Macaca fascicularis: one gene and its partners. The main gene of each other region encodes a partner of the protein of the gene in region 2 in a complex. Links are inferred from orthologs where the notes say so. Each region holds a gene or a part of one and is shown on either strand. Other genes may lie near its edges. The genes, in order: CLXN, ODAD1, ODAD3 and ODAD4.

What was found.
Region 1: ODAD1 (region 2) and CLXN share a complex: the UniProt entries of both Homo sapiens proteins name them as parts of the outer dynein arm-docking complex. The link is inferred for Macaca fascicularis from reciprocal best matches to the Homo sapiens genes ODAD1 and CLXN.
Region 3: the proteins of ODAD1 (region 2) and ODAD3 are in contact, whole or in part, in a cryo-EM structure (PDB 9CPB), measured with the Bos taurus proteins. The link is inferred for Macaca fascicularis from reciprocal best matches to the Homo sapiens genes ODAD1 and ODAD3. Residues at the interface, in XP_024834988.1 of Bos taurus: Leu31, Gln32, Gln34, Cys35, Met38, Glu41, Arg42, Tyr45, Val49, Arg52, Ile53, Gln56, Leu57, Glu59, Ile60, Leu63, Glu64, Val66, Arg67, Leu70, Arg71, Gln73, Ile74, Ala77, Gln78, Asp86, Arg89, Leu90, Ser92, Met93; in NP_001095517.1 of Bos taurus: Gln69, Leu73, Lys76, Ile77, Leu79, Leu80, Asp83, Arg84, Phe87, Tyr88, Thr91, Asn94, Ile95, Asn98, Gln99, Thr101, Ile102, Leu105, Arg106, Glu108, Thr109, Leu112, Gln113, Gln115, Leu116, Leu119, Gly122, Asp123, Val126, Ala129.
Region 4: ODAD1 (region 2) and ODAD4 share a complex: the UniProt entries of both Homo sapiens proteins name them as parts of the outer dynein arm-docking complex. The link is inferred for Macaca fascicularis from reciprocal best matches to the Homo sapiens genes ODAD1 and ODAD4.

The regions. Positions count from the first base shown.
Region 1 is NC_088382.1:58,624,191-58,629,930, reverse strand, and holds the start of CLXN (calaxin), read left to right. Parts: upstream 1-1,995; 5' UTR 1,996-2,105; coding exon 2,106-2,163; exon of another isoform or gene 2,164-2,309; intron 2,310-5,692; coding exon 5,693-5,740. UniProt on the Homo sapiens protein: Component of the outer dynein arm-docking complex (ODA-DC) that mediates outer dynein arms (ODA) binding onto the doublet microtubule. Seems to regulate the assembly of both ODAs and their axonemal docking complex onto ciliary microtubules.
Region 2 is NC_088393.1:56,283,598-56,288,239, reverse strand, and holds the end of ODAD1 (outer dynein arm-docking complex subunit 1), read left to right. Parts: intron 1-1,652; coding exon 1,653-1,816; intron 1,817-1,895; coding exon 1,896-1,993; intron 1,994-2,327; coding exon 2,328-2,406; intron 2,407-2,477; coding exon 2,478-3,020; 3' UTR 3,021-3,535; downstream 3,536-4,642. UniProt on the Homo sapiens protein: Component of the outer dynein arm-docking complex (ODA-DC) that mediates outer dynein arms (ODA) binding onto the doublet microtubule. Involved in mediating assembly of both ODAs and their axonemal docking complex onto ciliary microtubules.
Region 3 is NC_088393.1:11,990,865-11,995,964, reverse strand, and holds part of ODAD3 (outer dynein arm-docking complex subunit 3), read left to right. Parts: intron 1-2,504; coding exon 2,505-2,675; intron 2,676-2,763; coding exon 2,764-2,865; intron 2,866-2,976; coding exon 2,977-3,102; intron 3,103-3,281; coding exon 3,282-3,404; intron 3,405-4,630; coding exon 4,631-4,783; exon of another isoform or gene 4,784-4,890; intron 4,891-5,100. UniProt on the Homo sapiens protein: Component of the outer dynein arm-docking complex (ODA-DC) that mediates outer dynein arms (ODA) binding onto the doublet microtubule. Involved in mediating assembly of both ODAs and their axonemal docking complex onto ciliary microtubules.
Region 4 is NC_088390.1:62,973,395-62,978,494, reverse strand, and holds part of ODAD4 (outer dynein arm-docking complex subunit 4), read right to left. Parts: intron 1,391-5,100; coding exon 1,259-1,390; intron 1,124-1,258; exon of another isoform or gene 1,051-1,123; intron 996-1,050; coding exon 845-995; intron 108-844; coding exon 46-107; intron 1-45. UniProt on the Homo sapiens protein: Component of the outer dynein arm-docking complex (ODA-DC) that mediates outer dynein arms (ODA) binding onto the doublet microtubule. Plays an essential role for the assembly of ODA-DC and for the docking of ODA in ciliary axoneme.

The DNA of each region.
Region 1 (5,740 bases), on a different chromosome or scaffold from region 2:
GGCTCTGGGCCTGAAACTCGTGAAGGAATAACTAATTCGCTCAGCTGTAGCAAGCACCCAGTGTGTGCGATCTCCCCAGGCCCCCAGAAATAACCACCAATGTGCTCACCAGCAGCGCAGGCCTGCTCCCCAACACAGGCCTAGTACATCAGACAGGGAGCCCACAGTGCCTCTTAGTAATTACTGACAACCACTCTTTCAGTACCTTGTCTCTTGAAGTGAGCAGTGCAGCAATCTCTAGGAATTAAGTATTTGCTACAGCTCTGTGATCTAACAGAAATCAATAAGGTGTCACAGGTAAGTATAATTCAAATATGTCCAGTCTTTCCCTTTTGTTCTCTATGGTTTCAGGAATTTCACTCTTCTAGACAAGGGGATATGTAGAAACACTATTTAAAAAGGCTACTGTTACAAATTCATAATCACCATCAATTCATATCAGGTAGCTGTTGTTAGGTCATTTGCTTTAGGATAAAATACAGTCCATGCCTTTACCAAGCACCCTTTGCTCTAGTTTCAGACAGCATCCCAATCCTTCATTCCAAAAACAAATGAAACAGTAAAGAGAAACCAGAGGCCCTGACATTGGAATTATTTCATTTGGGATTATTATTCATGGTTAGTAGAATTTTTCTGCTTCAGTCTAAAAATGCCAGTATGTGTACAATAACATAGTTTGTCATTTTCCCCTCTGAAGTTAAACAAGCAGGCACTCTGGAGAATACTGTAGATTTGGTGCTCCTGGCTGAGCCACCCCTTTTTGTTGCTGCCTTAGCTGAAAGGGAGGTATCCCCTCTGTGGTCAGGAAAAGCAGAAAGTCCTCCCACACTGAAGATGTAAGGACTATCCTTTGTCTGCAGACACAGAACCTGTCTTTCAAATAAGTCAAGGACCAAGGTTACTGAGATATTTTCCAGAAAAGCAAGATTGGGCTGTATCCCACACCCAAGTGGTAGTTGTCAGCCCCTGTTTTCATTGGGGGGAATGCCTATTTAAGCAGTATAAAAATTCCTAGTGACTTTATTCAGATTCCACAGACAACTTCCACCTTTTGAGAGTGAGATGAGGGCAGTGGGAAAAGAAAAAAAAACTACAGTCACAAGCCACATAGCGCCATTTAAGTCAATGTCAGACAACATTAGGACAGTGGTCCCATAAGATATAACACTGTACTGGAACACTGCTCCTTCCCCAGAGTGCTTAGCACTCTGTCCTAGCTGCCTGCAGCATTCCGCGCAGTGACCTGCTGTGCAGGTGTGCAGCCCAGAAGCAATGGGCTGTACCATACAGCCCGGCGTGCAGTAGGCGAGGCCATCTAGGTTTGTGTCGGTGCACCGTGATGTGCACACACTGATGAAATCTCCTCGTGACCTCAGAACGCATCTCCATCCTTAGACAACCCGTGGCTGTATTCCAATTTCCCCTTGCTCTCAGAAACACAACTAAAAGCTTGAAGACCTCAGGTGACAAACTGCCTCCTGTTACCGCACCAAGACTGACAGCCTAAGCGTGGCTCCGCCCAAAGAGCAAGCTCCTCGCCCTACGACAGGAGGCCCGGCGAGACAGTCCTCTGGACAGCACCCTTGCTGTTTTGTGACGCTGCTCCAGCCCCCAGGATGTCCAAGATCTTAGGCTTCCCTTTGACGCGTGACGCTCACCACCCGAAACACCTCTCATACAGCGTACACACCACATTTCAGATTTTAATCATTTACACTGCAATCAAGCAAAAAGGTTGCGAACTCAAAAGCCAGCAACAACTGAACATTTAAACTCCAACGTCCACAATCAGAATACAGCCCTCAAGGCGGCCAGCTGGGACCCTGCAGGCAGCACCGCGCACGCAGGACCTAGCGCACGCCGCCGTTGAGCCGATGGGCGGAGCTCAGTTGTTGCCATGGCCACGTCGCGGGCAGCCTGGGAGCCAATCCGCGGCGGATCGAGCCGTTGCCTTGGCTACACCGTCTGTTAGGGCAGCGCACGCTATCAGTGACTGAGACCTCACCGCGTTGCCCCAGCACCAGGGCTCGCGGGGGTCCCGGGAGAGTCTCGGCAGCCGTGCGCCCCGAGACCCCCGCCGCGGCCCCATTCTCTGAGGGCCAGGCATGAACCGCAAGAAGCTGCAGAAGCTGACAGACACCTTAGCTAAAAATTGCAAGCATTGTAAGTAAGAATCTAGTGCTGGACAAGTCGAGGCTCCTGGACCGAACCTGGGTCCCACCCGGTGCCAGGGTCCGCTGTTCTGCCTGCTTCCGGCCTCCTGGGCTTGTGTGGGCTACCTACCGCCCCTCCACTCCGGCCCCTTAGGCGTAAGTCAGTGGGTGAATCCCCGGGGTGCTAGCTCCTTGGGTTTGATCTTAGGAACCCAGGCCTCCACCTCTAGTGCTACCTACACTCCCACACATGCATTTACTTGCTTCTCCAAGCCTCTTATTTTACCTGATAGAAACGTGATGTTAGCCTCAGTGAGGTGTAAAATAAATGCTAAAACCCACTGGTCTCAAGAAAAGTACCACCACCAACGTGCACTCACCCTGCTTTCTAGCTCGCATATACACTCGCAGGTACAAGTTCTGGAAGCTTACCAAGAGACCCATAGGAGAAAACGGTGCTCAACTTCTCAACATCTTTAGGAGATGTTAGTTGTGTCATCTCATCTGTGCCTCAGAACAAGATTTGTTTGGAAAACAGAGTTCAGCACAACTAAACACGCGGAAAAGAATGGATTCCCAACTTTAGACTCCCACTTTCCTGTGGCCCCTAGTGTTGAAAGATAAAGGAGACTTTGCAGGTGACAAGATGAGCCCTATTTGAAGGCACCTGCTCTAATCTCGCATTTGAAAGGGTGGTACTGGAATTTCATAGGAAACTTTGAGTTTATATTCAGACTGAAAAACATAATTGCACTTGAGCAAGGAAACCGTGGGTATGGTTTAGATGAGGAAGATATTGCCTGTCGAGCAAACTTAGAAGTTGTGTGTTCATTGCAAATCTACTGGTCACTTGAAGAAACAGAAGCAACAATTCCCCAAATATCTGCATTGCTCAAAGAAGAAGGAATAAACGTGTTGATGTAGTTTTAGAGATCATAAGATCTAGTGCATTCTAATTATCATTAGTGTCTGATTTAATACCTGGTAAGAAATGCTCTCTTAGTGGGATGGTGACGTAAATGAATGTTATGGTATGTGTAAGCATCTTAAAATGTCTAGGAAAAAAAATCCTGTAATTTAAGGTATTATTATGACTACTATACTCTGATGAGAGTTTTGTTCTGTTATTGTTTTTCTTAAAACACTTTCATTTCTGGGAGAAGAATAGGTATTCTTCTAGTAAACATCTAGTAAACATTTTTGATAAATATTCAAAAACAATGCAATAGCTGCTATACACAATACTGATTTTGTCCCTTTCCATAAGTTTGAATTTGAGTTAGTCTCTGTTCAGTAAGTTTGAATGCATTGCAAACAATCATTCTGTAAACAATCAAAAGGTGAGTGTATATTTTTAAAGATAATTAAAAATATGGCAGGAAAAAGTCTACTCTTGATTTTTTTATTTACTAAAAAAATTTTAATGAGTCTTACAAACTTAGATGATTATTACAGTCTATAGAAATAGTTATAAGTCATGGGTATTATAATAATTTTAAATTTTCTTTAACAGAAGGAACTTTCCCCTAAAGTTAAATTTTGTTTTAGTTGCAAGACAATAAAACTATCAAGAGTCAATGGATAAATTTTGTAGAATCAAAGAAGAGTGAAAGATCTTAAGAGAGCATCTAGTTCATGCACCATTCTACAGATATGTTCTGCAGGACACATTTAGAGCATTCCAAGAAGATGAAAATCTGTTCTTGAATTTTCTTCAGTTTCATTTAATATTGTATTCTAGAATTTAAGAAATGTTTAGCAATAAAAGTTTTCTTATGGCTAACCTTTGATCCTTTGGGTAATAAATTAAACTAACTTTTTAAAATTTTTATTTCAGCTGAGATGGAAAAATGGCTAACCAACATCCCCTCTACTACCATTTTATATACATGAACAGAGTACATCATTCTTCATGCAGGTTTTTCTTCCCCAACCACTAATAGCTCTTGCTTTTTAAGAGGTTTGTGTGTGTGTATATGCGGTTACATGTAACATGAAATTTACTATTTTAACCATTTTAAGTGCTTACATCCTCCTCCAGAACTTTTTCATCGTCCCCAGTGGAAACTCTACCCATTAAATATTAACTCACCATTCCCTCCTCATCCTAGCCCCTGGCAACTACCATTTTACTTTGTCTCTATAAATCTGACTAAGTACCTCATATATGAGGAATCATACAATATGTGTCCTTTCGTGCCTGGCTTATTTGACTTAGTGCAATGTCCATAAATGTTCATCTATGTGTCAGAATTTTCTTCCTTTTTAAGACTGAATAATACTTCGTTGTATGAATACGCCACATTTTGTCTATCCATTCCTCCATTGATGGACTCTTGCATCTGTCTTTTGACTGTTGTGAATAATGACACTATGAACATTGTTGTGCAGGTTCCTGCTTTCAGTTCTTCTGAGTATGTATTTAGAAGTAGAGTTCCTGGATCATACGATAATTGTGTTTAATTTTTATGAAGCGCCATCATACTGCTTTCCAGTGACTAACAGCTGTTTTTAAAATCATAACCATTATATTGTTTCCTACTGTTTATTTGCTGAATCTTTTTTCCCAAAGTTTTTAGTGTTTCTCTTTAAATGTGGTTCTCCAAACCAGATATCTCACAAAAGCCTGTACTGACCTCTAGGATGAGGTGTGATTTTTCCATTCCTAGATGCTGTCTTCTGTTATACACATGCAGGTTTTGTCCTTGTTTGTTAAAATGCTCAATCATAGTTTTGTCTGGTTTCTAAATAAATTTTCCCCAACTTCCTCCCATACTTGGTATTTGGGCTTTTATATTATCAAGACCAGGCAATAACCCTTCCACCTACATTCTCAAATGGGGATTGGAACACAAATAATTAACTCGGTATTTATAACCATGGTCCTTTATACAATAATGTGTATGAGCAAGTATCTGTGTGTGTATATATCCTTTAAATAAAAATGTCCTTCCTCCAAACTATTACTGAATACTTGCATGTCAATTTTTACATAATCCTCAAGAAGAGCCATATTGGGTGCTAAAATATGCTTTAAAGCTTTTTATTGGAAAACTGGTGACTCTAGTTTCCAAAATCTGGCTTATGAATTCATGAAGCCTAAAGTGAAATGAAAATCGTTACCTAGTTCTCATGAACCTGACATCTATTTCCAGGGAAAAGAAGTTGTAAATCTCATGAATGCCATAGTAAAAATATTGAGAAAAAGTTACCATTTTTTAATCTTACCATTCTTATTTTGAGTCATATATCTACCAGCCTTGTAGAGTTTAGAATCTGACACCACTATCATTATTCCAGTAACTTGGCTAACATTTTCATATCTTTTCCCTAAACATGAGAATTCCTGTTTGGAGGGTATGCTACTTCTTTAATTTCTATTAAGTTAAGGGTCATTAATCTCAAAACAGGAGAGTCTTCTATTGACAATTACCTATTTGATGTCTTTGATGTTGTTTGTCTGTAAACTTATTGCAAAATTTAAGTTAGAACTTAAAGATTAAAGATTCACTTTTGTTATATCTATTTTATTCTTTCAGTTAATAAATTTGAAGTGAACTGTCTTATAAAGCTTTTTTATAGCTTGG
Region 2 (4,642 bases):
ATTACAGGCTTGAGCCACCGCGCCTGGCCTCTTTTTTTTTTTTTTTTATCCGTGGGTATCAGTTGCATCCACCTGTGCATCCTCCCATCGTTCTCTTTTATTTCTATTATTATTATTATTATTATTTTTTAATTTGAGAGAGAGTCTCGCTCTGTCCCCCAGGTTGGAGTGCAGTGGCACCATCTCCATTCACTGCAACCTCCCCCTGCTGGGTTTAAGTGATTCTCCTGCCTTAGCCTCCTAGTAGCTGGGATTACAGGAGCACACCACCACGCCCAGCTAATTTTTGTATTTTTAGTGGAGAGTGGATTTTGCCATGTTGGCCAGGCTGGTCTCAAACTCCTGACTTTAGGTGATCCACCCGCCTCGGTCTCCCAAAGTGCTGGGATTACAGGCGTGAGCCACCACACCTGGCCTCATCTTTCTTATTTTTCAGGAAGTAGCCATGCAGAGCACTCAGGAGTCAGGCTGTCCTGTTTTTTGTTTTTTGTTTTTTTGGGTTTTTTTTACATTTATTGTTAGCTTTTATTATTTATTTATTTATTTATTTATTTATTTATTTATTTATTTATTTATTTATTTGAGATGGAATCTCACTCTGTCAGCCAGGCTGGAGTGCAGTGGTGTGATCTCGGCTCACTGCAATGTCCGTCTCCTGGGTGCAAGCGATTCTCCTGCCTCTCGAGTGACTGGGATTACAGGCACGCACTACCATGCCCGGCTAGTTTTTTCGTATTTTTAGTAGAAACAGGGTTTCACCATGGTGGCCAGGCTGGTCTCAAACTCCTGATCTCAAATGATCTGCCTGCCTTGGCTTCCCAAAATGCTGGGATTACAGGCGTGAGCCACTGCACCCAGCCTGTCCTGGGTTTGAATCTCAGCTCCACCAATTATGAACCTTGGTGTGTGGCTTCCTCCTTGTGAGCCCCTCTGGGAATGGGGATGGCAGTGCCTTCTTTGCAGGGTTGTCATGAGAATTAGAAGGGATGACAGATGGAGAGAAAGGTGGGGGGTGGTGGGGAGCGATCTGGGGAGCCCCCTTGGGGCACACCGTAGGAGCTCAAATATGGGCAGGTCCCCCTTCCCGCTGTCGTGACGGCTGAGCCGAGCCCTGTGCTAGGTGATGTGGGCACGGTGGGGAGAGGCCCTGGAGGGGACTGACCTGAGCACTGGGCACTCATCACTCAGGGGCTAGGATGGAGGACACCCAGGCTCTGGGGGCGAGAGGAGGCCGTAACTCAGTCTGCAGTGCAAGACCATAATTTGTGGGGCCCAGTGCAGAATGAGGGGCCCCTTATTAAAAAATTGCCAAGATTTTCAAGATAGGAAGAGCAGCAGCGTGTCAAGCCAAGTGCAGGCCCCTCACCACCGTCTGGGTCTCACACTCACCAAGCCAGCTCTGCTGGGGTCACTGGGAAGGCTTCCTGGAGGCAGTGATACCTGAGGCTGATTTTGAAGGACAAGCCAGGGAGAGAGGGATGCACAGCAGTGCCCTCCCCCTGCCTGGCTGGCTGAGCTCGGGTGACTCCCTTTTGGTCTCTGAGCCTTGATCGCAGTCTCTGTAGAATGGGGCAGTGAGGACCTGAGTGGGGAGAGGGCTAGCACCCAGCTGGCGGTGCCAGATCCCTGACAGCTGGCCCTCCATGACGCAGACATCCAGCTCCTCTTCACCAAGGCCCATTGCGACGGCAGCATGATCGATGACCTCCTTGGGGTCAAGACCGGCATGGCGGACCGGGACATGGGCCTCTTCCTGAGCCTCATCGAGAAGCGGCTGGTGGAGCTCCTGACAGTGCAGGCCTTCCTGGATGCCCAGGTGGGAGGCGGCAGGGAGCCAGGACGGGAGGCAGGTCTCAGGGGTGGCCCAGCTGACCACAGGCTTCCACACCCTCCAGAGCTTCACCTCCCTGGCCGACGCCGCCCTCCTGGCACTGGGCCAGAGCCTGGAGGACCTTCCGAAGAAGATGGCCCCACTTCAGCCCCCTGACAATCTGTGAGGCGCAGGGCAGGAGGGACGCAGGGGGGACGGGGCTTCCATGGGGGCAGAGGGAACACACAGGATAGAGGGTTTTGGGGGGCTTTTGGGGACTGGCTGCTGGATGTGGCCCTGGGGGTTTAGAATATGAGGTGTGTGCTTTGAGGCAGCCAGAAGGAGTAGGGGCTTGGCACCTTTGTGTGGGAAGACGGGGCCCCGGGTACCCCAGAAGGGGAGGGCACTCAGGGCTGGTGGGAGAATGAGTGAGGTTCCTGGGGTTGAGCAGGAAGGGCCACTGGCCTTTTTGAGGGCTGGGAGTCTAGTCTTTTCCGGTTTTCCTTCCCCTCCCCAGAGAAGACCCCCCAGGTTTTGAGGCCAGCGATGACTACCCCATGAGCAGGGAGGAGCTGCTGAGCCAAGTGGAGAAGCTGGTGAGATTGGGGCCCTCGGGGGTGGGGCCAGGCCTCAGTGTGCGTCGGGGCCCAGCTCACCTTCCCTGCAGGTGCAGCTCCAGGAGCAGGCGGAGGCGCAGCGCCAGAAGGACCTGGCCGACGCCGACGCGAAGCTGGACGGCACCCTGAGCGCGGACCTGGCCAGCACCCAGAGGGCTGGCTCCAGTACCATCCTGGTGCCCACCAGGCAACCCCATACCATCCCCGGGTCCATCTTGAGCCACAAGACTAGCAGGGACCGTGGCTCTCTTGGCCGCGTCACTTTTGGTCCCCTCAAATCCAGCCTGGGGCATTTGCCCAGTCACGTCACGCACGGTGACCCCAACACTGGCCACGTGACCTTTGGCTCCACCAGTGCCTCGAGTGGGGGCCACGTGACCTTCAGACCTGTCAGCACCAGCAGCTACCTGGGCTCCACGGGATACGTGGGGTCCAGCAGGGGCGGAGAAAACACAGAGGGTGGTGTGGAGAGCGGAGGCACAGCGTCTGATTCCAGCGGAGGCCCCGGGTCCAGCAGAGGCCACGTCTCCAGCACCGGCCCTGCCTCCAGCACTGGCCCCGGCTCCTCCACCAGCAAAGACTCCCGGGGCTAACACGAGGGGCCTGCAGCCCCCACCCTGCCCTGGCTCTCTGTAGAGGTCTTTTTTTGTGTCTCTACTTCCCTGTTTGCCTTGTGGGTCCCTGTCTTTTTCTCCCAGTCCCAGGCCTCTGTCTTTTTGCCCCTCTTAACTGTTTTCATCTGCCCTTCATCACCGCCTCACCTCTGTCTCCTGGTTCCTTTCTCTCTGCTCCTGACCCTGCTTTTCCCTCTGCCTCCCGATCTCCTGTTCTCTCGGCTTCCCAGTCAGTGTCCGTCCTTCTTGTCTCCATATCTGCCCCTTCCCTGTCTGCTGAGCCCTGACCCCCTGTGGATTCCCCACCTTCTGTTGCTGGCTCTCTCTCCTCGTCTCCATCTCCCAGGCTCTGCATACATCCTGTGTCCCTCTCTCTGCAGCTCCTCACTCCCCAAGAGCCCTCTAGTGCTGACGGGCATGGGAAAAGTCAGGGCGAAGATGCCAGGTTCAGCATGGGAAAATGGGACTGTGGAAATAAAGCCTATGTGTGGAGAGCCGGCTTCAGGCATGGCTGCTTCCTCTACCTCCGGCCTGGGGGTCATCTGTGACCCTGTCCCGACTCCCTGCCATTCATTCATTCACTCACTCATTCAGCATTCTTATTTATTTATTGAGATGAAGTTTCCCTCTTGTTGCCCAGGCTGGAGTGCAGTGTCACGATCTCAGCTCACTGCAACCTCTGCCTCCCAGGTTCACGCCATTCTCCTGCCTCAGCCTCCCAAGTAGCTGGGATTACAGGTGCCCACCACCACGCCTGGCTAATTTTTGTATTTTTAGTAGAGATGGGGTTTCACCATGTTGGGCAGGCTGGTCTTGAACTCCTGACCTCAGGTGATCTGCCCACCTCAGCCTCCCAAAATGCTGGGATTACAGGCTTGAGCCACCACGCCGGGCCTATTCATCCATTTTTCTGAGACCTCTCCTGGAGCTGTGTTGGTCAGGGCAGTCACAGCTGCAGATTCTCCGTGGTCCTCAGGCAGCAGAGGTTTCTCTCCTTTGTGGGCCAGCCAAGCGCTGTCCTCCATATCACCCGTGTCCCCCAGGCCCATGGCACAGCCATCATCTGGAATGCTGCCAGTCCTTTGGCACAGGAAGAAGAGAGGATGGCACAGCAGGCAGTGACTTGCGAGGCTTGGACCTGATATGACACCTGTCTTCTTAGCTTACACTCAGCCAGAGTAGGTCCCCTGGTCACCCCGAACTTCACAGGGGCACCGGGAAGCGTAGTCTTTTCATGTGTCTGGAAGGAGAGAAAGGAAGGATTATTTATGGACAGCCCTAACTCCAGTCGCAGGGTCACAGAGAAAAAGCTGACCTTGACCCTTTCCTGCAGCGGGGGTGGGGGGGGGGGGTGGGGTGGGTGTAGGAGTGAGAGGGCTTAGAACGCCATGATAACTCTTTGCTGTAGTTGAGTCATGCCAAATTCCCTGTCAGCATTTAATCCGTTGGTGTCAAAGCTATATAAAAACTTAAAAAAAAATCAGGCTGGGCGTGGTGGCTCACGCCTGTAATCCCAGCACTTTGGGAGGCTGAGGTGGGTGGATCACTCGAGCCCAGGAGTTCAAGACCAGCCTGGTGAACATGTGAAACCCTGCCTCGAC
Region 3 (5,100 bases), about 44 Mb from region 2:
CTGGGCCACAGGACCAAAACTCTGTCTCAAAATAAATAAATAAATAAATAATAAAAAATAAAACACAGTCTAGGCATGGTGGCTCATGCCTGTAATGCCAGTGCTTTGGGAGGCCAAGGCTGGAGGATTGCTTGAGCCCAAGAGTTCGAGACCAGCCTGGCAACATAGTGAAACTTTGACTCTACAACAAATACAAAAGATTAGCCAAATGTGGTGGCGCAGGACTCTAGTCCCAGCTACTCGCCAGGCTAAGGTGGGAGGATCATTTGAACTGGGGAGGTCGAGGCTGCAGTGAGTCATGTTCGTGCCACTGCACTCCGGTCTGGGTGACAAAGCAAGGCCTTGTCTCAAAAAATAATTTTTTTTTTTTTTTTTTTTAATTTGAGACGGAGTCTCGCTCTGTCGCCCAGGCTGGAGTGCAGTGGCCGGATCTCAGCTCACTGCAAGCTCCGCCTCCCGGGTTTATGCCATTCTCCTGCCTCAGCCTCCGGAGTAACTGGGACTACAGGTGCCCACCACCTCGCCTGGCTAGATTTTTGTATTTTTTAGTAGAGACGGGGTTTCACCGTGTTAGTCAGGATGGTCTCGATCTCCTGACCTCGTGATCCGCCCGTCTCGGCCTCCCAAAGTACTGGGATTACAGGCTTGAGCCACCGCGCCTGGCCTCAAAAAATAATTTTTTTTTTTTTTTTTTTTGAGACAGAGTCTCGCTCTGTAGCCCAGGCTGAAGTGCAGTGGCCGGATCGCAGCTCACTGCAAGCTCCGCCTCCCGGGTTTACGCCATTCTCCTGCCTCAGCCTCCCGAGTAGCTGGGATTACAGGCGCCCGCCACCTCGCCCGGCTAAGTTTTTTCGTATTTTTTAGTAGAGACGGGGTTTCACCGTGTTAGCCAGGATGGTCTTGATCTCCTGACCTCGTGATCCGCCCGTCTCGGCCTCCCAAAGTACTGGGATTACAGGCTTGAGCCACCGCGCCTGGCCTCAAAAAATAATTTTTAAAATTAAAAGGCTGGGCATGGTGGCTCACGCCTGTAATCCCAGCACTTTGGGAGGCCGAAGTGGGTGGACCACTTGAGCTCAGAATTTCATGACCAATCTGGGCAACATGATGAAACCCTGTCTCTACCAAAACTACAAAAACGTAGCCAGGCGTTGTGGCATGTGTCTGTGGTCCCAGCTACTGAGGATGCTGAGGAAGAAGGATCACTTTAGCTCAAGGGGCAGAGGTTGCAGTGAGCCAAGATCGAGTCACTGTACTCCAGCCTGAGTGACAGGGTAAGACCCCATCTCAAAAAACAAAACAAAATAAAACTGGGCTGGGTACAGTGGCTCATGCGTGTAGTCTCAGCACTTTGGGAGGCCCAGGAAGGAGGATGGTTTGGGCCCAGGAATTCGACACCAGCCTGGGCAACATAGCGAGACCCTGCCTGTATAAATTTTTTTGTTTGTTTTTTGGTTTTTTTTGAGACGGAGTCTCACTCTGTCGCCCAGGCTGGAGTGCAGGTGCATGATCTCGGCTCACTGCAAGCTCCCCCGCCAGGTTCACACCATTCTCCTGCCTCAGCCTCCCAAGTAGCTGGGACTACAGGTGCCCGCCACCACGCCTGGCTAATTTTTTGTATTTTTAGTAGAGATCTGGTTTCACCATGTTACCCAGGATGTTCTCGATCTCCTGACCTCATGATCTGCCTGCCTTGACCTCCCAAGGTCCTGGGATTACAGGTGTTAGCCACCGCGCCTAGCCTAAACAATTTTTTTAAAAGAAAAAAATGGCCAGAAGTCAGCCGGGTGAGGTGGCTCACGTCTGTAATCCCAGCACTTTGGGAGGCCGAGGCAGTTGGATCACCTGAAGTCAGGCATTCGAGACCAGCCTGGCCAACATGGTGAAACCCTGTCTCTACCCAAAATACAAAAATTAGCCGGGTGTGGTGGCACATGCCTGTAATCCCAGCTACTTGGGAGGCTGAGACAGGAGAATTGCTTCAACCTGGGAGACGGAGGTTGCAGTGAGCCAAGATCGTGCCAGTACACTTCAGCCTGGGCAACAGAGCGAAACTTCTTTTCAAAACAAAACAAAACAAAACAAAAATTAGCCAGGTGTGCTGGTGGGAGCCTGTAATCTCAGCTACTTGGGAGGCTGAGGAGGAGAATGGCGTGAACCCAGGAGGAGGAGGTTGCAGTGTGCCGAGATTGCCCCACAGTACTCCAGCCTGGGCGACAGAGCAAGACTTCATCAAAAAGAAAAAAGAAAAGAAAAGAGAAAAAAATTTTTGTTTTAAATTTGTAGAACCCTGAGCCGATGTAAGATCACCAAGGTGGTGGATATAGACAGAGAGAAGACCCTGGTGCTCTCTCTCCAAAAACAGCACAGAAGGGGTGGCCAGGGAGGTGGGTAGAAAACGGGAGAGGGGAGTCCTGGAAGATATGGGAGAAGGAAGGGAAGAAGGGCTAGATGTGTGTCGGGGTAGGGTGTTCAGGCCCCTGCTTTCGCTCCCCTCCTTGCAGCAGGCCCTGGAGCACCTAGACCACCGGCTGAGGGAGAAGGTGAAGCAGCAGAACGCCCTGCGTTACCAGGTGGTGTTGCGGAAGAGGCGGCTGGAGGAGCTCCAGCTGCAGCACAGCCTGCGCCTTCTGGAGATGGCGGAGGCGCAAGACAGCCACACGGAGGTGGCCAAGGTAGGGGCGGGTGAGGCCTGCAGGGCAGAGGGTCGTGTGGGAGGGACTGAGTGCGGAGGGCCCTCAGCCCAGCCCTGCTGCTCTCCAGACCATGCGGAACCTGGAGAACCGCCTGGAGAAGGCCCGGATGAAGGCGCAGGAGGCCGAGCACATTACCAGCGTGTACCTGCAGCTCAAGGCCTATCTAATGGTAGGGACTTGGAGGGCTCGGGTGAGATGGCAAGCAGGGAGGGCGGGCTTAGCCAGGGACAACAGTCACAGGCCTGCCCCATCTTCCCAACCGCTCCCCATCACGCCCCAGGACGAGAGTCTTAACTTGGAGAACCGGCTGGACTCCATGGAGGCTGAGGTGGTGAGGACCAAACATGAACTGGAAGCACTGCACTTGGTGAACCAAGAGGCCCTCAATGCTCGGGACATTGCCAAGGTGCCACCCCTCTTGCTCTCAGCCATCCTGCCCAGATGCCGCGGTCTCCCAGCTTGAGAATCTGACCTCAGCTGTCCCTGAGCTTCCCCAACGCCCCCGCCCCCATCTATCTCCCAGCACCCTGCGGCGGGCAGCGATAGGTGCCAGCTGGTCTCCCTGCTCCCCTGCCTGCCCTCCAGAACCAGCTGCAGTACCTGGAGGAGACCTTGGTTCGAGAGCGCAAGAAGCGAGAACGCTACATAAGTGAGTGCAAGAAGCGTGCCGAGGAGAAGAAACTGGAGAACGAGCGCATGGAGCGCAAGGTGGGCGCACCCAGGGGTGCGCGCCTGTGACTCCAGCCCTGCCGGGCACAAACCAGCCATGCCCTGGCTCTACCTCATCCTAGGCCTTCTCCCGCTTCCTAAGGTTCTCCTAACTCCGCCCCCTCTCTGACTTCACCCCCATTTAGTGCAAAGACTCCTCCCACATCTCTGACCCCGCCTCTCCTCCCCTCCCCTCCTACGCGACAGCACCATTTTGGCTCTGACATGGCCTCCAGCCTTCCCCTTGCTCAGTGACTCCTACCCATCCTTTCCCAACTGACTAGACTGCCTGTCCTAAATCTGACCCTGCCTCTAACCCAACCCTTGCTTAAGGCTCCGCCCCCTCACTCTTGGCCCCGCCCCTGCACCTGCCCTGAGGCTGCCACTCATCCAGCCCTCACCAAGGTATTTTTTTTTTTTTTTTGAGACGGAGTCTCGCTCTGTCTCCCAGGCTGGAGTGCGGTGGCGCGATGTCGGCTCACTGCAAGCTCCGTTTCCCGGGTTCACGCCGTTCTCCTGCCTCAGCCTTCCCAGCAGCTGGGATTACAGGCGCCCGCCACCACGCCAGGCTAATTTTTTTTGTATTTTTAGTAGAGACGGGGTTTCACCGTGTTAGCCAGGATGATCTCGATTTCCTGACCTTGTGATCCGCCCGCCTTGGCCTCTTAAAGTGCTGGGATTACAGGCGTGAGCCACCGCGCCCGGCCAAGGGTTTTTTGTATTTTTTTTTTTTTTTTTTGGTAGTTTTTTCTGTGTGTGTGTGTGCGTATATATATATATTTTTAGACAGGGTCTCACTCTGTCGCTCAGACTAATTATAGCTTACTGCAGCCTTGAGCTCAAGCGATCCTCTCACCTCGGCCTCCCAAGTAGCTGGGACTACAGGCGCCCTACCACGCCCTGCTAATTTTTGCATTTTTTGTAGAGATGGGGTTTCGCCATGTTGCCCAAGCTGGTCGCGAACCCCTGGGCTCAAACGATCCTCCGGCCTCAGCCTCCTAAAGTACTGGAATGAAAGGCGTGAATCACAGCCACCACCACCCGCGCTCGACCTTGTCCCACTTTCTGCCCGGGTGCCTTTATCTGGCCCCAAGCTTTTGCGCTCTCCCTTCTCTCCAGTTTGAGCCCTGTTCCCTCCTGGGCCCCAGTCTGGATCCCCCTCCCCGGCCTCCGCCCTAAGCGCTGTCCACGGGCTGACCCTGGCTCTGACCTCAACCCACGAGCAGACGCACCGTGAGCACCTACTGCTACAGTCTGAGGACACCACCCAGGACAGCCTGCATGCCAAGGAGGAGGAGCTGCAGCAGCGCTGGAGCATGTACCAGATGGAGGTGATCTTTGGCAAGGTCAAGGACGCCACTGGCACTGCCGAGACGCACGTGAGTTCTGCCCGCAGCCCTCTCCGCCCTGCCCCGTCCACCCCAGATGGGCCCCAGGGGTGCCCAGGCTGGTGAAACCGGCACACCCTGCCTCCCCTCTCTGCCAGGTCAGTTCTTCAGCTCACAAACCTACTCCTTTCTTGAAAAACATCCCTTCCCCCTCCAGCTACCGTTCAGTTTTCCTGCTGCCCTTCACAGCAAAACCCCCAGGAGCTGTCCACACTCGCTGTCATTTCTACACTCGCCTTCCGTTCTCTCTTGAACCATGCTAATTCCTTTGCCGTGCCAGCTCTAGGAGAACTGAGTTTCCTCTCTTG
Region 4 (5,100 bases), on a different chromosome or scaffold from region 2:
ACCTCTTCCCTTGGAGGGATACAACCGCAGAACCAGGGCCCTTACCTCAGCCTGCTTGCTTAAGAAGGAGAGGTCCCCTTTGTTCTCCAGCTTAATGGAAGAAGGACCTGCAAGGAAAGAAGCTGGAGCTCAGGTCGGCCAGGCCCCCACGGCCAGAACCCCCACGCATGATCTATAACATATTTTTAGGTGGAAATGGCTGCCTTTGGCAGGGGGATGGTGGAGGCTGTGGCAAAGCTGGCCTTAAGCCAGCCTAGTAAGCAAATGGTGCAGGCTGTTTGGTATAACTCCTAGGAGCTAACAGCCCCCACTAGCCCAAGGCTATGGCAGCCAGATTTCCAGACAAAGGGAGGCCAAGGGTACAGGGGAAACTGTCCATTTCCAGGCCCTGCCACCCACAGAGCAAGCTCTCACTTGTTCTCACTTGCTTCCCTTCTACCCCTGCCTTAATGCTGATGGCTAAGGCCAGCCCTTGGTATACGTGTGGTGAGGGAGGAAGCCAGGGACTACAGAAGGCTGGGCTCAGGACCGCGTTCTAGCTTTTGACACCAGGCTAAAGACAGGCCTACTTCGAAACAGCCCTTCTAAGCTGACCTTTAGGAAAACCCAAGGCTGCAGCGCTCAGAGATCAGTGTGTTCGTCAGGGAATGGTCCTCCCGGCGGACAGGTGGCGCCGGCCACCACGCCCAACTAATCCTCAACAACACTGCAGCAGCCAAATCCAAGTGTGGGACTCCCTGCAGGCCTGGTGGTGGCTGCTCACCTGCTGTACCTCAGCCTTCCTCTAAACCTAAGGATTCCAAGGACCTTCCTGGATAAGTGCATAGGCCCTGTGGCCACTCACTTCCCACTGAGTTGTTGATGGCTTCCTGGGCTTTCTGAATGCCAACTTTGAATTCCCGATCAGGCCTCAGCTTGTAGCCTCGATGATAGAATACCAAGGCAAACTCAAAGTCTCCCATGGTGTACAGTGTCTCAGCCTTTTGTAAAATCCCCTGGAATGGGAGGAAATCAAATCAATGTGAACAGATAAGGCCTTATAGGACTCACATGTGGTGGAACAGAAGGGTCCTGGGTTGAGGGTCAAGGTTGGAATACAGGGGGCAGGGACTTAGGCAATGACCTACGAAGAGAAAACGGCATCAAACACTAGGCAGTCTGGCTGCTTCTACTTGTAACAACTACTTGTTACAACTACTTGTAACCCGCAGCTGCTGCAGGCAATAGCAGGATCGAGTCCTCCCGCCCATGCAGTCACCTTACAGAAAGTTGGGTCACTCTGGAGCGAAGCCTCAGCATCCTCCAGGGATCTCTCCAAGTCTCCCATCTTCAGGAAGCACTTTGAGCGAGCAACCAGGCAGTTCTTGTCTCCATCCTGAAGGTAAAGAGCCTGACAAAGAAACCAGTCAGGTTGACAGCCAGCATGAAGAGCAAGGTAGAAGCTGCAGTGGGAAGGGCAGCCCAAACCCTCCTGCAGAGGTTCAAGGGGATTCTTCAGGCCAGCACACAGGCCTCTGGCTCCTAAGCAGCACAACTCCGATCTGCACTCAGTCAACTTGATTATCTGCACATGGCTCACCTTGAACAAGGTCAAATCATGGCTATGATGGAAACCACTGGCTGAAGAGTGGGAATATGCTACTCTGTGGATACGCTGACTTTCTGCCAATGTCTGAGAGCCCCCCAGTCTCCTCAGGCAATAGAACTATAGGGTATTTTGTGCACACCAAACTCAACCACAAACCCGAAATGGCAACACATCATACTCAAAGTAAATTTCAAAGGCTAAGCATTCTGAAGTGGACTTGAGGACAATCTGCCATGTGGGTTAACCATTCCAGTAGCCTTCTCTTTTTATGTAGCTAATCAAGAACTAATCACTATACCCGGGAATTACGATGAAAGTGCCAGGAAAAGGCTGGGAGTGGTGGCTCACGCCTGTAATCCCAGCACTTTATTTGTTGTTGTTGTTGTTTTTGAGTCTCAGCTCTGTCACCCAGGCTGGAGGGCAGTGGCCCCATCTCAGCTAACTGCAGGCTCCGCCTCCTGGGTTCATGCCATTCTCCTGCCTCAGCCTCCCGAGTAGCTGGGACTACAGGCGCCCACCACCACGCCCGGCTAATTTTTTTGTATTTTTAGTAGAGACGGGGTTTCACTGTGTTAGCCAGGATGGTCTTGATCTCCTGACCTTGTGATCTGCCCGCCTTGGCCTCCCAAAGTGCTGGGATTACAGGTGTGAGTCACCACGCCCGGCCAATACGAGCACTTTGGCAGGTTGAGGTGGACGGAATGCTTGAGCCCAAAAGCAAGCTCCGCCTCCCGGGTTCACACCATTCTCCAGCCTCAGCCTCCCAAGTAGCTGGGACTACAGGCGCCCACCACTGCGCCCTGCTAATTTTTTTGTATTTTCAGTAGAGACGGGGTTTCACTGTGTTAGTCAGGATGGTCTCGATCTCCTGACCTTGTGATCCGCCCGCCTTGGCCTCCCAAAATGCTGGGATTACAGGCATGAGCCACCACACCCGGCCAATACGAGCACTTTGGCAGGTCGAGGTGGACGGAATGCTTGAGCCCAAGAGTTTGAGACAGGATTTTGCCATGGCAAAACCCTGTCTCTACAAAATACAAAAAAATTAGCTGGGTGTGGTGGTCCATGATTGTAGTCCCAGCTACTCAGGAGGCTGAGATGGGAGGATTGCTTGAACCTGGAGAGGTCGAGGCTGCAGTAAGCCATGATCACACCACTGCACTCCAGCCTGGGTGACAGAATGAGACTCTGTCTCAAAAAACAAAACAGGCCGGGCGCGGTGGCTCAAGCCTGTAATCCCAGCACTTTGGGAGGCCGAGGCGGGTGGATCACGAGGTCAGGAGATCGAGACTATCCTGGCTAATATGGTGAAACCCCGTCTCTACTAAAAATACAAAAAACTAGCCGGGCGTGGTGGCGGGCGCCTGTAGTCTCAGCTACTTGGGAGGCTGAGGCGGGAGAATGGCGTGAACCCGGGAGGCGGAGCTTGCAGTGAGCCGAGATCACGCCACTGCACTCCAGCCTGGGAGACACAGCGAGACTCCGTCTCAAAAAAAAAAAACAAAAAACAAAAAACAAAAAACAAAACAAAACAAAAAGAGGCCGGGTGCAGCGGCTCACACCTGTAATCCCAGAACTTTGGGAGGCCGAGGCGGGTGGATTATGAGGTCAGGAGTTCGAAACCAGCCTGGCCAACATGGTGAAACCCGTTTCTACTAAAAACACAAAAATTAGCCAGATGTGGTGGTGAGCACCTGTAATCCCAGCTACTCAGGAGTCTGAGGCAAGAGAATCGTTTGAACCTGGGAGGCAGAGGTTGTAGTGAGCTGAGATCATGCCACTGTACTCCAGCCTGGGTGATGCAGTGAGACGCTGTCTCAAAAAAAAAAAGCCAGGAAAATGAAACTGTGATTTTGACACTAAAGTGGGGTTGAGGGAAATTTTCCCTCTCTTCTGTGTGAGATGATTACCATAGTCTGTGGTGTACTGTCCTTCCTGAGGCATCTAACTGTACCCACCCCTCTTTTTCTTTTTTGAGACAGTCTCACTCTGTCACTCAGCCTGGAGTGCAGTGGCACGATCTCTGCTCACTGCAACTTCCGAGTCCCAGGTTGAAGCAATTCTCCTGCCTTAGCCTCCCGAATACTTGGGACTACAGGCGCCTGCCATCACGCCTGGCTAATTTTCTTCTTTTTTTTTTTTTTTTTTTTTTGAGACGGAGTCTCGCTCTGTCGCCCAGGCTGGAGTGCAATGGCGCGATCTCGGCTCACTGCAAGCTCCGCCTCCCGGGTTCACGCCATTCTCCTGCCTCAGCCTCCCGAGTAGCTGGGACTACAGGCGCCCACAACCGCGCCCGGCTAATTTTTTTGTATTTTTAGTAGAGACGGGGTTTCACCGTGGTCTCGATCTCCTGACCTTGTGATCCGCCCGCCTCGGCCTCCCAAAGTGCTGGGATTACAGGCGTGAGCCACCGCGCCCGGCCCTTTTTTCTTTTTTGAGATGGAGTTTCGCTCTTGTTGCCAAAGCTGGAGTGCAATGGCACAATCTCGGCTCACTGCAACCTCAGCCTCCTGGGTTCAAGCAATCCTCCTGCCTCAGCCTCCGGAGTAGCTGGGATTATAGGCACTCGCCACCACACCTGGTTTATTTTTTGTATTTTTAGTAGAAACGGGGTTTCACCATGTTAGCCAGGCTGGTCTCGAACACCTGACCTTAGGTGATCCACCTGCTTTGGCCTCCCAAAGTGCTGGGATTACAGGCCTGAGCCACCTGACCTGGTCTTTTTTTTTGAGATGGAGTTTCACTCTTGTTGCCCAGGCTAGAGTGCAATGGCACAATCTTGGCTCACTGCAACCTCTGTCTCTCAGGTACCCAGCCCTTTCTAAGACCTTATGACTTTTCTAAGAAGAGGAAGTAGCTACTGTCTTTCTGGAAAGTGACTACGTCTCATCCAAGGCTACCCTTCCCTCAGGGTGTTCTTTTTCTCTGCCGGGGTACTTCAGGATGGGACATGATCCAGCAGGAGGAGAATAAGTGGGGACAGGGCTTCTGAACTCAATTGTTCACTTATCTGGTCATCATTTCTGGTTTTAGGGTATGGTTGGTGACTGAAAGGGACAAACAACTCTGGGGAGCTGTTGAGAAGCTTGATCTTACAGGAAGTCTTGAGACTGAAGGGTTATCCTACCACTCTATCTAGAATAAGAAGTGGGCAATTTGGAGCAAAAGAAATGGTCATAAAAACATCTTTTTAGGGCACTGTAGCTCATACCTGTAATCCTAGCACTTTGTGAAGCCAAAGCGGGAGTATTACTTGAGCTCAGGTGTTCAATACCAGCCAGGGCAACATAGCAAAACACCTGTCTCTACAAAAAACAAAACAAAACAAAACAAAACAAAATAGCCAGGTATGGTGGTGTAAGCCTGTAGCTCCAGCTACTTGGAACACTAAGGTGGGAGGATCACTTGAGCTCAGGAGTTTGAGGCTGTATTGAGCTGTGATTGTGCCACCACATTCCAGCCTGGGAGATAGAACGAGATCCTATCTCTAAAAAAAAAAAAAAAAGAAAGAA